4 linked regions of the Nothobranchius furzeri genome follow. The protein of the gene in region 3 interacts with the protein of the main gene of each other region in a pairwise test. Links are inferred from orthologs where the notes say so. Each region holds a gene or a part of one and is shown on either strand. Other genes may lie near its edges.

Evidence for each region.
Region 1: the proteins of gps2 (region 3) and tfip11 interact in binary tests that used the Homo sapiens proteins (3 or more experiments, as listed by UniProt). The two-hybrid records come from large-scale screens. The link is inferred for Nothobranchius furzeri from reciprocal best matches to the Homo sapiens genes GPS2 and TFIP11.
Region 2: the proteins of gps2 (region 3) and sestd1 interact in binary tests that used the Homo sapiens proteins (3 or more experiments, as listed by UniProt). The two-hybrid records come from large-scale screens. The link is inferred for Nothobranchius furzeri from reciprocal best matches to the Homo sapiens genes GPS2 and SESTD1.
Region 4: the proteins of gps2 (region 3) and ralbp1 interact in binary tests that used the Homo sapiens proteins (3 or more experiments, as listed by UniProt). The two-hybrid records come from large-scale screens. The link is inferred for Nothobranchius furzeri from reciprocal best matches to the Homo sapiens genes GPS2 and RALBP1.

What each region holds. Positions count from the first base shown.
Region 1 is NC_091757.1:45,000,280-45,004,470, forward strand, and holds the start of tfip11 (tuftelin-interacting protein 11), read right to left. Parts: upstream 2,801-4,191; 5' UTR 2,691-2,800; exon of another isoform or gene 2,673-2,690; intron 2,253-2,672; 5' UTR 2,251-2,252; coding exon 2,045-2,250; intron 1,956-2,044; coding exon 1,790-1,955; intron 1,700-1,789; coding exon 1,543-1,699; intron 1,435-1,542; coding exon 1,307-1,434; intron 1,191-1,306; coding exon 1,029-1,190; intron 870-1,028; coding exon 678-869; intron 539-677; coding exon 359-538; intron 249-358; coding exon 114-248; intron 28-113; coding exon 1-27. Other genes in the region: srrd (SRR1-like protein), read left to right, coding at 3,091-3,302, 3,533-3,573, 3,640-3,821, 3,909-4,007. UniProt on the Homo sapiens protein: Involved in pre-mRNA splicing, specifically in spliceosome disassembly during late-stage splicing events. Intron turnover seems to proceed through reactions in two lariat-intron associated complexes termed Intron Large (IL) and Intron Small (IS).
Region 2 is NC_091754.1:30,155,434-30,159,770, reverse strand, and holds the start of sestd1 (SEC14 domain and spectrin repeat-containing protein 1), read right to left. Parts: upstream 2,801-4,337; 5' UTR 2,577-2,800; intron 1,819-2,576; coding exon 1,749-1,818; intron 1,666-1,748; coding exon 1,557-1,665; intron 1-1,556. UniProt on the Homo sapiens protein: May act as the primary docking protein directing membrane turnover and assembly of the transient receptor potential channels TRPC4 and TRPC5.
Region 3 is NC_091742.1:53,242,032-53,245,245, reverse strand, and holds the end of gps2 (G protein pathway suppressor 2), read right to left. Parts: intron 1,662-3,214; coding exon 1,572-1,661; intron 1,023-1,571; coding exon 930-1,022; 3' UTR 507-929; downstream 1-506. UniProt on the Homo sapiens protein: Key regulator of inflammation, lipid metabolism and mitochondrion homeostasis that acts by inhibiting the activity of the ubiquitin-conjugating enzyme UBE2N/Ubc13, thereby inhibiting 'Lys-63'-linked ubiquitination.
Region 4 is NC_091751.1:42,841,472-42,845,058, forward strand, and holds part of ralbp1 (ralA-binding protein 1), read left to right. Parts: intron 1-2,586; coding exon 2,587-3,018; intron 3,019-3,098; coding exon 3,099-3,448; intron 3,449-3,587. UniProt on the Homo sapiens protein: Multifunctional protein that functions as a downstream effector of RALA and RALB. As a GTPase-activating protein/GAP can inactivate CDC42 and RAC1 by stimulating their GTPase activity.

The sequences.
Region 1 (4,191 bases), on a different chromosome or scaffold from region 3:
GATATCCTCCAGACAATAAGAACTGTCCTGAAAAGATCAGAAAGCGTTCAAGAATTAGCTTGGATATTAATCATTTACTAAAAATGTGGTTTCCTCTAACTGTAAAAGACTACCTTCACAGGGTCCCAGGAGGAGAGTTTCTCTTTAAGCAATGGATGAATGACAGCCACAGCCAAATCTGCCAATCCCATCATCTTGTATTCCTCATAATAATCGGTTTGTAATGTCTCAAAGATCTGGGCACACTCCTGAAGAGACAAGCACTACAAATCAGCTTCACAATTATGAAATATAAAGCTGGAACTCCTTAATTTGAACAGCTTGCAGACCGGCTCCAGTCAGTGTTTGTAACACAAACCTGTAGGGTCGGGCCCTCTCCCGGTGCCGTCTCTTCAGAAGGAAAACGCTCCACTAATGCTAAGACAGCTTCCATTCTTCGGATGGATTCTTGCTCTGACTCCAGTCTGCTCTGCAAAGCTTTTGACTCATGGCTCAGAGAAACAACCACGTCTTTTTCATGCTGCAAACGTCTGGCAGACTACAAAAGATGCACAAAAAAAAGAAAGAACGCTTTAGTAGAGATTACAAGTTCTTCACATTTTTCTCAGGTTGCTGACTTATTAATATCCTATTCTTGTAGCTAAATATGTTGTAAATAATTCTTGGTTTCCTCTTACCTGTAATATGTTTTGTTCTGTCAGGTCTATCAGAAGCTGCAGATTATGCTCAAGTTCGGGGAGAGCAAAGCCAGATACCTTTTGATCCTGTGAAGCCAAGCTTGGTGGAGCTTCATCGGGAACACTGTGTTTGTGAGACATCTGACTATAACTGTAGTATACCTTCTGCTCTCTTCCAGTCATATCTATTACCTAGACCAAGGGAAATGTCAGGATAAATAAGTACTATGAATGTAGCCAAAATGTACTTAAATTACTGATGCTTAATAAAACACTGAATCCTCAATTTTGCACCTATGCAGCCATGCCAACATAAAAAACAAACAGCACACAAGTGAAACATAAACATACCTTGACCTGTGCCAGCTCTCCTGCAGTTGCAGATGTGCTCCGACTCACTATTTTACCTTTAGCCTTCAACTCATCTGCTGTTCTGTAAGAGTACTTGGGCTTCTTTTTTCCTGCAGGCCCAGCTGGATCCTTACGCCACTGGCCAAGTTCCTTCTGAAATTCCTATATAAAGATATAGAAAATTACCACAATGACTCTATAGACTCATTTGATCAATAAAATCAAACACAAAAATAAAAACAACATTGTAAAGACAATTTTTTTTCTCAGTACTTTACCTTCTCCTCTTCTTCCTCTGAGTCAACTACAGGAAAGTCCTGAAGACTCTGCTGGGTTCTTTCATTGCCATAAGCACCAACCGCTCCTTTTCCCTTACGGATCTTTGCCTCAATGGGGTTTATGATACCTACAGAGAGAAAGTACATTACAAGTGTTTCAATTCCACCACATCCATGTAAAAAACAAAACATTTTACAACATTTTTAAAAGAACAATCTAAGTCAACTAAACACACCTTGAGCATTCTTCCCCAAGCCTTTCCCTGGCTGGTAACCCATCTTCTGCAGAAGTTTCTGTCCAATTCCTTTGGTGTGTTTCTCCCAGTTACCAATTCCTTGTCCAGACTGTATTCCACCTGCAAACCTCTTAGACTGATTTCCACAGAAATTACCCTAGAAAAACATTTTTTCCCAACATCATTATTTTCACTATTTTCTTCTACAAACAATGGACATCACAATGTGCGCACATTTAAAAATTACCATCTGGAGTTTTTTGGGTGCAGTCACGCGTGAAGGGGGGAGTTTTGCAGAAGTATCATCATCAGAGTCGTCAGAGCTGCCTTCTTTTTCCCGCTCTTTCTCTTCAGCAGCACTCTTACGCAAACCACCACTCACAAAGCTCACAGGTACAGTGTAGTCTTTGGATCTAAAAAGAAATCATAAATATTTTATTAGAACATTTGGTTAGAAATTGTTTCAGAATTGGAATTTGTGTCAAAAGCAAGCCATTTATACTTCTTGCCACCAAAGCTGGGCCTTTCATCTTCATCAGAATCCTTCTCGGCCCAGATGCCATATGTGGCCTGCTCCTTGCTCTGCCTGAATTTGCGACGGTCTGGGTTGAACTCATTGGCTAAATCCCAGTCAGTAATCTCAAAACTCTCCACCTCCACACCTTCCTCTTCCTCCTCCCTCCGCCCGTAAAGGTGGGACATTGACATCTCTGCAAGTTATAAACAATATAGATCTTAATGAAATGTGACCGAATCCTAAAATTACACGTGCATTTATTTTCCAGGAAAGAAACATTGTGACTTCAAAATCAGGAAAAAGATGCATATCTAGTTTATTAAAGGCAAAGAAGAGGGAAATAAAATGCGATAACTAAGTCAGGTATGAAGTCAACGTTTGTGGTTTAACTAACGATAAATTAATAATGACAAAAAGGTTTACAATCAATAACGATGAATACACAAATAAGACTAAACGTGAAACATCGATTATAAAACTATACAAATCTGCTTAGAAGAAAACGGAGCGAAGGCTAATTACTAGCAATAACGCACGTTCTGTAGCATTAATGTAAATACACACAACATGTTAGTAGTGATAAAAAACGACGATTTCGTTTAAGTTAACTTACTAAAATATTAATTACAACCTTGGTCTGAGATCAAAAACACATATCTTATGTGGTAATAAGACGAACTGCAGAGACACGAACTGTTGACGAATGATATATTTTTGTCAAAAGCAAGTTCTTCCGGTTTAGCCGTGTCACTTCAATTAATGTACACTACAAATAATTTCATTAATATTTTAAAAGCAGCTTAATTAAAACCAACCATTCAACACATACATTTTTATAAAGCGGTCAATATTTTTTTTAAAAATAAAAACAATCGAACAACAGCAAATCTGTTGAATTTACGTGACTTTTAACTAGACGGAAATCACACCGGAAACAGAACAATGTGTTGCACTTGAATAGGTCATCTGCGTTTCCATTTTTAGCTTTCAGCTCTCAAAATGCTAAATTTGGTTTTGAGTTCCATGTTTTTATGATACTTACGTTTGGAAATGTATGTACTTATGTAAATTACATCTGGCAATTCACACAAATGTCGTACATATCCGATGAATGGCAGGTAGCTCGGCGTCGAAAAGGTGTATGTAGGCAATTTAAATCTCATCAAGTTCCTCTAAACTCACCATCATGCCATCAGGAGCAACTGGATGTTGGAAAACTCATCAGAAGAATCAGAGACAACATGTAAGAAGTTACGCACACACACATGTATGTATGTATGTATGTATGTATATATATATATATATATATATATATATATATATATATATATATATACATATATATATATATATATATATATATATATATATATATATATATATATATATGAGTAACAATATTTATCTTGCATAATAGGTGAAATCATACATCTTCCCATAAGTTATTGGTTTGCTTATATCTTTCCTTCTTAGGTTTGAACTAAAGTACGAAGATTTTTGGAAAGACTGGAATGGTGAGTTTGTTGTAGATATGTAGGTTGAGTTAAGCTTAGTTATTTAGTGGATCATCTTCTCTTCAGAGAATTTCCAGGCAGCAGCAGCATCCCTAAAACCTCCAGGGGACAGTGACACTGAAAATCAGCTGGAAAAAGCCCCAGAAGAAACACTGATGTGTGTTTGTTATGGTCTTGGGTCTTTTTCTTCATGTGTAGCCGCTCGCTACCAACTTGCCATGTTGCTGCTTCTTCTGGATGCGAGACAGGTGAGAAGATCGACTCCATCTGTGTTATAAATGATACTTGTGAAACTCTGATGCAAAATATGTGCTTTATTGCCCCTGTCCATGTAGATTTTACTGCGGGACTGCTATGTTTATGATCCTGCCTTCTCCTTTGCTGAAAAGAATGTCTTAAGAGAGCTGGGTTTGACTGTACTCACAGAAAATGAGGTCAGTTGACAAGAGCTTGAGTATTTTTGAAATAAATAACAGTAAAACACTGTTTTCAGGTATACACTATGAAGTAGATTATACAGATATAATGTTACCATAAATACCATTGTTACAAATAAACAACTGTTACAACTCCAGCCATTTCATTTTGCTATCTGTTTGATTTCACTGGTTATTCACT
Region 2 (4,337 bases), on a different chromosome or scaffold from region 3:
CTAAAATGAGCAAAAATAGACAATTGTGATTAAAAAATGTTAATAAAGAGAGAGTGTGAATATGAAAAAGCGAAATCAGTGGATCCTGAGGAAGGTGGAATAGGTGGGGAGAGCAGAATAAAGAGAGAGTGGTGAAGAAGGTCATACAAAAACCAGCTTGAACAAGTGAGTCTTCAGCTGCTTTTTAAAGGAGTCCACTTGTTGGGTATTTTTATAATTGTACCTTTTTGAGGCCTAAAAGATGCCCATTTTGTGTTATTAACACTTCATGAATCTCTGTGTTTGCCAACTGTGGCTGTTCATGAAAGGTTGAGCAAGGATGTTGATTGTGGGTTTCCAACTGAAAACTGTTCCTCTGTAACCTGAGAAGGCCCTGCCTTCTCCTCCATCCTTTGTGAAAAAAGCCCCTGACGAACTGGAAGCACATGGGAGTGACGTGGGGACAGCCTCGGAGGAGGTTCCTCTGCGTTAACTCTCCATTATTTTGGGGACTCAGGGTAAAATGTCTCCCTTGTTGTCATGTGTGTTATTTCAGGTTCCAGGGTTATTACCCCACATGTAATTACCTAACATTTTGGTGGAGAATGCGGGCATGCAGAGCTGGTGAGCTGAAGGCTTTCCCCAGGAACAGAGGGGGGCTGGTTAGCTCCATGGATGGGTTTCCGCCCAGCTCTCGCATGACGATTCATGGACATTACGAATAATAATAATCTTCTCTCTCTCTCCGAGTCGTCCTTTAAGGTAATTTGGGATAAATGAAAAATTACCTATCACCACTGAGTCCACTGATCTCAGGCTCAGGGGGAGAGAGTTCCAGAGTCTGGGGGCCACAGCAGCAAATGCTCTGTCACCTTTGGTCTTTAGCCTGGTGCTGCACAACCAGTAGGCTTTGATCACTGGACCTCAGGGACCTGCTGGGGGTGTAGGGACTGAGAAGATCACCTATGTAAGATGGTGCTTGTCCATGTAAGGCCCTATATACCAGAACCAGGATCTTGAAATGAACCCTGAAGTAGACTGGCAGCCAGTGAAGCTGGAGGAGAAGTGACGTGGATGTGTTTGGACTGACATGCCTCCCCTCATTTTAATAAGGCAGCAGAAAGTGGCGGTTCGCGGGCCGGGTCCGCCTATTTAGAACCACTGATATAGAACCACACACATCTATAGAAGTCATGTATATCAGTATTAATGAGTTTCCTGTTAATGCACAAACAAGACCTTGTTTAAATGTGGGGACAACGGCAAAATTGCTGTTTGATTTGCAAAGGAGTACCAGAAAAGTTTAACAGAGTTTAGCGAAAGTTTAAGCTGGACTCTTTCATACGTGGCTGCTCACACTCTGCTGGTGAGTTCCTCCTACAGCTCCAAACATGAGGGAGGGAATCCATGCATGCAATCTGAACACCTCGAGAACATTCCTGGACTAAAGAACGTGTGGAAATACTTCACATAGGATGTCTCAACATGTTTGACCCCCATCAGATCCAAACTTGTCCAAAGGGATAAAAGGGGAAACAAATCTTCCCACAACAGACAGTTTCCATGAGTGTGTGTACCTGGGAATGCTAAGCAAGTAATCCAGTGTGGCGCTGAGCTCTTCCATGCTGGTCTGATCTGAGTTGAGGGGGATGGTCAGAATCAGACCACTGCGGCGGTCTTTGCCCCCTAAAAAAGAGACGAGTAGGCAGTTAGAGACATCACATTACTAATATTAAAGTCGTCACGCTGAAGGAAGCACAATCCCACACCTGAGAGGAAGGCCAGCTTCTTTTTGAGGATGGGAAGAATGGAATTTGCTTCCATTGTAACACTGGACATCTGCAAAAGCATGACAACAAAAACATTAACATCAAAACGCGTAACCTCGGAAAGAAAAGCAGCGGCTGATGAGGCTGCTGATTGGTTCCAGCTGAAGTGCTGCAGGAACACCAGGTTTAGTGGCTTTTCCATGCGGATTTTCTCTCAGATGGCATTTCTCCCAGCAGATTCCAGCTGCTGGCTTCGGCTCAGCCTGGTTCACATTTCTGCTGTTTGACTGAGTGGTCCAAGTTTTGTGTTCAGTTAACTCCATCTGTAATCATTCAGTGATTAAACCTGGTTTAGATTAGATCAGATTAAATACTTTAACCTGAGAGATCATCCTGGTAGTTATAAAGTTTATAGTCGGACCTTATTTCAGCTACTTACTAACCCTAACCCTAGTTGGACCTCTTATTTCAGCTACTTACATGAAAACATCGGTAATTTTAGATTGTTTGGCCCTAATTTATTTTCAAGCGACCCAAATTTGCTCATCCATGCCTGTAATCTTCCATCATTTACAACTGGCAGACCTGATCTAGTTACTGCAGTTTCTGCTGCTGCATCCTTTTCTGCAGCCTCACTGCAGGAGGGCTCGGCCCAGCAGGGCAAGGCTCGGTTCGGCTGAAAAGACCTAAAGACACAATGACCTACATTCAGAGCTGCAGACTGCGGAGGCTGCGGCTGGAACCTCCCTCACCGAGGCGTGCTTCATCACAGCAGCGACAACTTTAGGCTGTACTAACAATAAGTATGGATCCGGCGGATTTCCTTACCTTTTCAGTCAGATCCGGAGCATTTTCAGTCAGACCCTATTTCCTCCATCCAGTCTTCCTCCTCCTGTTCTCTTCCGTATCTCCTTCTCCTCTTCACTCCTCAGAGGCCGAGTTTTCGGAGGAGACTGAATCAGTTTTCCATTAAATGACCTTATCTCTCTGTTTTATTCTTCGCTCGTCTGTAACAACAGTGAAAACACAGCAGCCAGGCGGAGGGGCAGGGCTTGCTGCTGCTGCACTGCGCAGACTCAGTAAAGTAAAATCAACAACTCCAACTTCCTGTCAAAATTTTTCAAAATAAGTTTGTGTCTGTGGGGAAAACAAGCAAGAGAACCAAAATAAACACGGAGACCCGAGCTTTCTTTTGTTAGGTATATATTTTCATTCTATATTTCTGTTGGGAAATTATTAGAACTTCTTATTGAAAACCTGTATTGTTGGAAATGTAATTGTTCAAAATATAAAGAGTTTTTCTTGACTTTGTTTTGAAAAACACGGATCTGCATCTTCTCTGTGAAATTTAATCTGTGTTTCCGGGGCAGGGCCTCAACCAAACTGACCGAGTAAGGTCTGACCACTCTCCCTTTCAGACGACTGAGGTGTTTAATGTCCCTCAGAAATAAGAAAACCTCCGGACCAAACAAGAGAATGAACACGATGGTCTACGAAATCAATTTTATTACAAATAAAGTCACATCTGTGGAACAAATTAAAAACAATATTTAAATGTGTTGTTGTGTACAAATGCATAATTTCTTAAAATGTGAAAAAGCACATTTAGACACTTTGATTTTAATTGATTACACAAAAACATATGAATACATATTCTTGTTATGTGGCTGTGAATTCAAATTGAAATGAACATGTTTTTCCACATTGTTCTTGTTACATCATTTGCAATAAAAACTTTCACACTCACATATATATATTTCCACCTTTTACTTCATTTGTGTAGCATTTAAACAGAAACAAGCCCTCACTCATTTTAAAGCTCCTTTTCTCTCGTCAGTCCCATTCCAGCTGTAAGAAAAGACTGAACTGCTGCTGCAATCCATGAAGTGTTATGAGTCCCTAAAGTGGACAATGATAGCCTACAAACAAGTATACAACTATTTGGAAAATATCAAATAAAATACAATTTATTAAAATGGGCTTCAGTAGTTCAAACTCAAGCAGAACTGAAATGGAATAAGTTGTCAACTACAAATATTGGGATAAAATGGGCAAAATAGCTCAACTCCTAGAACCTACCTTGAACCCTATTTTATTTCCTGTGCTGAGTTGAACCTCATGCCTGTTTTTTTCCTGTCAAAACCAAAAGTTAGAAATTCCATAAGGAGGATCAGCAACTCTGTGGAGCCAAAATGACTATATATATATATATATATATATATATATATATATATATATATATATATATATATATATATATTAGCCTCATAGATACAATGGTTCTAAAGATCTGATAGCAATGATCTGGAAGGAGACATGTGATTTACATAGCATTCCTAAAATTAAATGCCTTCCTATATGCATATTATCCAACAGCTTTCATTAGCTTGTCCAAAATTGTTCATGTATGTCTAATGATTATTTTATGAAAGACTTTCAAAAGTTCATGAGATATTTTGCTAACAGACAGAACTGACTTCAGTCATTAAGATAATTGCATATAATCCATTAGCACACCTCAGCTACTAACAGGTTAAATAAATTAAACGAGTTAGACTCATTTTATAAGGTTTGCAAACATTGGTTAGG
Region 3 (3,214 bases):
TTCAGGGGCAATCAAGACCAATGGAAACGAAGGGAGCTAATGACTCGTCTGCGTTTTTTTTTCATTCTCTCCAGTTTTCTGACCCTCCTGTGGGCTCGGTCACAGTTCACGTCCCGACTACGTGATCATAAACCAGAACAGGTGTGCATATTTAAAATAGATGATCACCTTTAGAAAGAAGAGGGACAGTGTTTTCTTTTTATTGATCCCTGATTTATGAAGGGCTTCATCTCCAGTGGAGGTCTGTTCAGCAGGCGGATTCGTATTTCTGCACAACACCTGGTCTGAAGCAGCTCCATCACCTGGCGCCTATGCGGAACAACGCAACCTTCCTTTTGTTTTGTGTCCAAAAACAACTCCTGGGAAGCTCTTTGCAGAAACTTTGGGAAGAAATGACTCCAACCTGGAACAGATTTGTTTTCAGAGCAGCAGTTTACTTAACCAGGCCCGACTTTGCAGGACGTCTCTGTGGGCAAACAATAAAAAGGAAAGAATGGCAAAAACAGTTGAAAAGTGATTTGTTTATTTAGCAACATTTAAGTGAATAATTCCAAATAACCCAACTTTATTTATGCTACAGCTGGTTTTCCTCCAAATCGTGTTACAAAAGGTCATCCGAGGACAGACAAAAACTTGGGACAAAGTGTTTAAGCTTAACTAGTTAATGTGTGCGGGACCAGTCTCATTGGTCTAATTCCAATCATTTATGGAGAAACTAAAAATTCTGGGTCTGTAATACAGTTATTTTACAAATTTACTATTTAAAAGTGTAGTGAGAACAAAAAAGACAAGTGCGAGTTTGAGGACTTTAAACCAGAAGCGATGAAAGCTACTGTACAAACTTTACATCAAAAAGGTTTAAAACATCAAGACCAGGTCCGACGGCGTCTCCAGAGTGTCCGGGAAGCGGATGCTGAGGGCGCTGTGGGCTACTTGCCATGGTGGTAAAACCTCTGCCCGCTCTGGCTGTGGGACAGGAAGCTGTGACGAGGAGTGCCCTGCGGAGAGCTCTGGAAGGGGGCCTGGTCATAAACACAAAACAAAACCGCCTAAAAAAAGGGCGATGTTTCATTTATAAACATGTCAGCAACAGAAAACTGACGCGTGACCTCCATAAACCTTTACCACGTACGTTTTCCAACACAGCCTTGTTTTGGTAACATCAGGACATCCCTGCTGTTACTTATGCTCTTGCGGAAACAGATTTCCATCTAAATGACTAAGTGGGAGGATTAAACATTACATGAAATATTGGTTTTAAGACTTTCGCTGTTAGCTTAACGGTCCTGTCCGGTGTGACCTTCATTTCTCTGAACTGAGGCTGTTCAGGGAGATATTTACAACAAGAATGAGAGGTGGTGAATCACTATCAAAACCTGAGCCACATGTTTACAACAGAAACAAAGTCCTGTGTAAACACTACTAATGGGCTGTCCGCATCACCGTTAACCCAGCACTAGCCAGCTGAGAGGTGACACAGCGGGGCAGATTGTTGCTGATTTTTACATCACTGATTATAAGAAGCATAAAACAGGTGGTGGAAAGCGTGTGTTTATATTTGTATGGTTCACCTTAGCAGTAGGGATCTGGACCATAGGTGCAGGCAGCAGACCTTGGGCTGAGGGATGCATGGCTGAGGGGTGCATGGGCCTCAAACCGCCCTGAAACATCAACAAGACACAGAACCAAAACACTAAACAGCAAACTCAAGTGCAGGTTGGAGAAGCTGCTGTAGTGCGGCGTTCTTGTTTGAAGGGGATGTACTGTGACTTCTGTCTTAAGGTGTAATAGTCTATGGTCTGCACTAAATCCCTCCCACATAAAGATCTTTCAGCTGTTTTATTCTTGATGGTTTCAGTTCCTTCCTAAATGAGCCGTTTCAGGGCTCTGTCACTTTAAGAAAACAAGCTAGTGGGCCACGACCACCCACCCCCTGATGAGCTACGGTTAGGTGGGAGGCTCCGACATCCATGGGAGGCTTGTAATAGAGCCACTGATCCCCCCGCAGCACCTCTCTCTTGCACCTGAGAAGTGGCTCTATTCTGGTTTTCCTGTTGTGACATCACAAATGTGAACTTTTGGAAACAGCTCATTTTAGGCACATAATTCCTAAAACCAAACACTGAAAGAAAACGGATGGAGGTTTTATTTTTCACATTTGGGGTGTTTTTAGGGCAACAGCAGTAGCTCAGGAGGTAGAGCGGGGTTGTCGAGTAATTGTAGGTTTGCAGGATCGATGCCCCCCCCCCCCCCGCAGAGAATTTAGCTGCTGTTTCCTTGAGCAAGACACGTCACCTAAAGCCAGGCGGACACTGTGCGACTTTTTCACTCGTAGCACTCAGCTTCAGCTCTAACTGTACGACTTCCTCGCAGGGCAGATCTCACGAGTCATGCGCTCACACTGCACGACCCAGTTCTCGGATACGACCTGACTGCTCACACTGTACGTCTGGTAGCAACAGGTCGGCCCAAAAATATGCTAAAAATAGCAGTTTTTACACAACACGTCAGACTTTTTTGTCTTGTTTTGCCTGTTGTCCTTCAGGAGTGCTGCAGGAGGACGCACAGGGATTTATGGGGGTTGGATGAGGAAAACGAAATAAAGAAAGTAAATCTGTGTTTTGTGATCAGTTTAATTTGACATGAACACGACAAACACGCTTTCTTGACAATCTTTGTGTGTAAAAAACGTGTAGAAATTAAAACGGACAACGTGTGTTATTAGGGAAATAGCGAGCGAACGGTGTTGATGCAGGATTGCGCATGCGCCGTGAGCGGTTCTGATACATTTTGGGTTGCAGCTGCTCGCAGCGCCGCTTCAACAGTGCGATACCCTCACGAGGGACGAGCAAAATATTAAACACGCCAGAAGTCCGTGCGAGCTCACGACTGCTGATCGGTAGCTGGTCACGTGGTGTTAATCGCCTCTCGTAACCCCCTGTACACTACACGACGCTCGGCGCAAAACTCGCCCCGATCTCGTGGATTCTCGCACGACTGGAAAATCGGCTCAAAAAATTGAAAAAGTCGCACAGTGTACGCCCGGCTTAACTTGTCTTTGTTGGTGGTGGTCAGAGGGGTCGATCACGCAAAAAGGCAGCCTGGTCTCTGTCAGACTGCCCCAGGGCAGCTGTGGCTACATAGTAGTTTACCATCACCAGCATTGAGTAAATAATGGAAAGTGCTTCATAAATCAATATTATTATTACAGAGG
Region 4 (3,587 bases), on a different chromosome or scaffold from region 3:
TCTGAAAATGATTATTTCTTCTGTTAAATCAAACCTGCTTTAGTTATGGGGAATGACCTGAAGCTGTTTTACTCCAAAGGTATGCTGGTATTTGTCACTAATCATTAGGGCTGAACGATCTATCGTTTGTGGATCGAAATTGCGATTTCAAACAGTACGGTCGTGACTGTCAAAGCTGCGGTTTTAGCGGTTTTGACTGATCCAGGATCAGTTGTGTAACTTTTTTTATTTTTATTTTTTTACATCCGGGGTTTTCTCCCTGTGTTATGGCGGTGGCATAAGCCAGAGCAGGGGAGGGGAGAGACTCCTCCCACATCGGAGCAGGTTCAGGCTGGTTTCTAAAGCTGGTTTATGCTTCATCAGCGTGACTGCAGAGTCGCGCACTTTAGTTGACTTGAAAGCTAAACTTCTCATTTAAAATGGTTTGAATGTTTCTGATGGCATATGTTGGTTCAAACAAGCTAAGGTGTCAGAATGTGTTCGTCTCTCTCACGGAACTGACGTTTTAGTGAGGAAAAACTATCAAGACGGCTTCGAAAAACGTGCAGCCGGCCTGCCTTGGAAATGCAGGGAAAACTGTGTGCATTTTTTTTATTTAATACATTTAAAAGCTATTTCTATCTACAGATTTCCTCCATGCATTTTTGGAGTAGAACATGTTTTTATAAACCTCCTCTCTAGATAAAAATCACAAGCACATGTTGCTTCACAAACACATTAAAAATTTAAATAAATATAATTATGGGAGAAAATATGAATAGCTTTAACTGTTTTTATTGTATGACTAAATAGTAAATATTAATGTGAATGATTTGTTGTACTAGATTAGAATCTAGACCATCTTTTCACTTAATCTATAGGATGGCTTGGCAGGCTAGTGTTGGACCTTTGTTTGCAGAAAATCGTGAATTGAACCGAAATCGCAATTTCTGCAAGAAAAATTGCAATTCAATCTTTTCCTAAAATCGTTCAGTCCCACTAAACATGGAAAAATGACTTCAAAGGTTTTATTCCAAATGCAAAATGAGACCTAAATAAATTGGAAGATATTTTTTATGGAATTTCAATAGATGAAGTGTTTGTAGAAGTTACTGATACCACTAATTAAGAAAGATTTTCAAACTACAAATATTTAGACTGGAATTTGAAAGCATACCAGCACATATTGTGACAATCCGGAGTTCTCCCTCAGAATTATGGATGATTTTCTAGAAATGTCCTGCCTGTTTTGTGATATAATGTAGGCAATGCATCTTTTTATTTATTTATTTTTTGCAAAGCCCATCCTCGTCCTGTAGAGCCTCATGCAGTTTGAAAAGTGTGCCGCTCAGCATCAGCCAGTAGTGATATCCGCCTATGTACAGATGTCAGTCAAAGAGCAGAGTTGGGGGCATTTCTCATGGACATGAATTAGCACAACTTGGGAAAATATACAAGACGGTGTGTTTCAGCCCTGTTTGCCAGCTAGAGGTGTGGCCATAAATATGGAGGTGGGGAGAATGGCTTAAGGTGCAATACATGTTTCAGCCTCTAGATGGCGGCGTCAGATAAAACAGTCCATATATCTTATGTGTTCATATGTTCTGCAAGTGCATTGGTTCAGTCCTTGAGTATGAACAATTAAGATTTTTTAAAAGCCGGGTTATACTGATTTAAGAATAACTTCATAGTAAATAGGTGACTAAAATGGATGAACCTGTGTGTACACATACCTGAGCATATCATAAAAATGTTAGCTTTAGGTTAAAATTAAAAATATGGTTTGTTTTAATTAATTTAATTGAATGTCCAAATATAACAAAGAAAAGTCTAAAGTATAAAAAATGTGTTTTAGAACCAGCAAGATGGTAGCTGTTAGCTGAAGGATAGCTGTACAGAATGAAGATGCAGTTCACACATTTCTACAACCACCATCAGCAGCAGACGGGGTGGGTTAAGTGTCTTGCTCAAGGACACAACAGAAGAATTGTCTGCCAGGGCATGGAATCAGTCCTACAACCTTCCGATTATTAGACAACCCGCTCTACCTCCTGAGCTACTGCTGAGGAATTAAGAGTGGTTTAAATCTTTTGCACAGCACGAGTCATGAAGCAGCGTTTAAAACAAACCAGCGAGAGTTTTTCAGCTGTTTAGGTTCGTCCTTCCTCTCCTTGCTGGTAGTGCGGTCAGTGTCTTTCTCTGTATTAGTTTTTCCATGTCTGCTTTTAGCTCCTGCACTCGTGTCCTGCGAGTGAAAGGAAGTGATGGTCAGTTTTAGGCCAACGCCCACTGATCCCAGTGACACTGACAAACAGGACCGATATAATAATACTAGTAAAACTGAGAAGAGGTCACTCGTTAGATATTAGAGATGATCGTCTTTAGGAGAAGCCAGCTGGAAGGTGTTGGGGGAGCTGTGCTCAATCAGAGGTGACCTCTTTTCCAAGTCCCCGTTCTCTCCCTCTGCTCTCTTTTCTCTCTCACACATCTCTCTTCCTGTTTCTATTTCGCCTCTATCGTAGTTCTGTTGTAGGAGGGAGATAAGGGCACCCTCCCTTCAGATTTAACCTCGTTTCTGCCTCTTTTTTTCACTGTTTACGTCCACAGCTGAGGGATACGCCGCCTTCCAGGAGGACAGTTCGGCAGATGAGGCGGAGAGCCCCTCCAAAATGAAGCGCTCCAAGGGAATCCACGTGTTCAAGAAGCCGAGCTTCTCCAAGAAGAAAGAGAAGGACTTTAAGGTGAAGGAGAAGGGCCCCAAAGAGGAAAAGGCCAAAGATAAAAAGTCCAAGGACCTGACGGCAGCAGATGTGGTCAAACAATGGAAGGAGAAGAAGAAGAAGAAGAAGCCTGTTGCAGAGTCAGAGCCAGTCCCAGTGGAGACCCCCACCATCAGGCCCATCTTTGGAGCCCCGCTGGGTGAAGCGTTGAAGAGGACGGCTCTGTACGACGGCATCCAGCTGCCCTCCATCTTCAGAGAATGTGTGGACTACATAGAAAACTATGGCATGAAGTGTGAGGGTATCTACCGGGTCTCAGGTATCGAACACCTTTGTTTTCCTTCAGAAGAAATCATAACACTCCTCTCTGAGTACTTCATTCATTTGTTTCCCGGCCAGGTATGAAGTCTAAGGTGGATGAACTGAAAGCCGCCTACGACCGTGAGGAGTGCCCCTGCCTGGAGGAGTACGACCCCCACACCGTCGCCAGTCTGCTGAAGCAGTACCTCAGAGAGCTGCCCGAGAACCTGCTGGGTCGAGACCTGGCCCAGAGGTTTGAGGACGCCTGCGGTCGGCAGACGGAGGCCGAGAAAGTGACGGAGTTTCAGAAGCTGTTGACTGAAGTGTCTCCTGAGAGCCGACTTCTCCTCTCCTGGCTCGTCACACACATGGACCATGTCATCGCCCGGGAGTCGGACACCAAGATGAACATTCAGAACATCTCCATCGTCCTCAACCCCACCATACAGGTCAGAGGAGGCTGTTTAGTGTCTACAAAGTACGCTACAGCCAAAGTACGGCTTAAAGAAGATAAAGCGACTTTAACTCAGACCTTCTCCTTAGCAACAAACCAACTAATTTTACGAGTTCAGTTCATCTCTGACACCA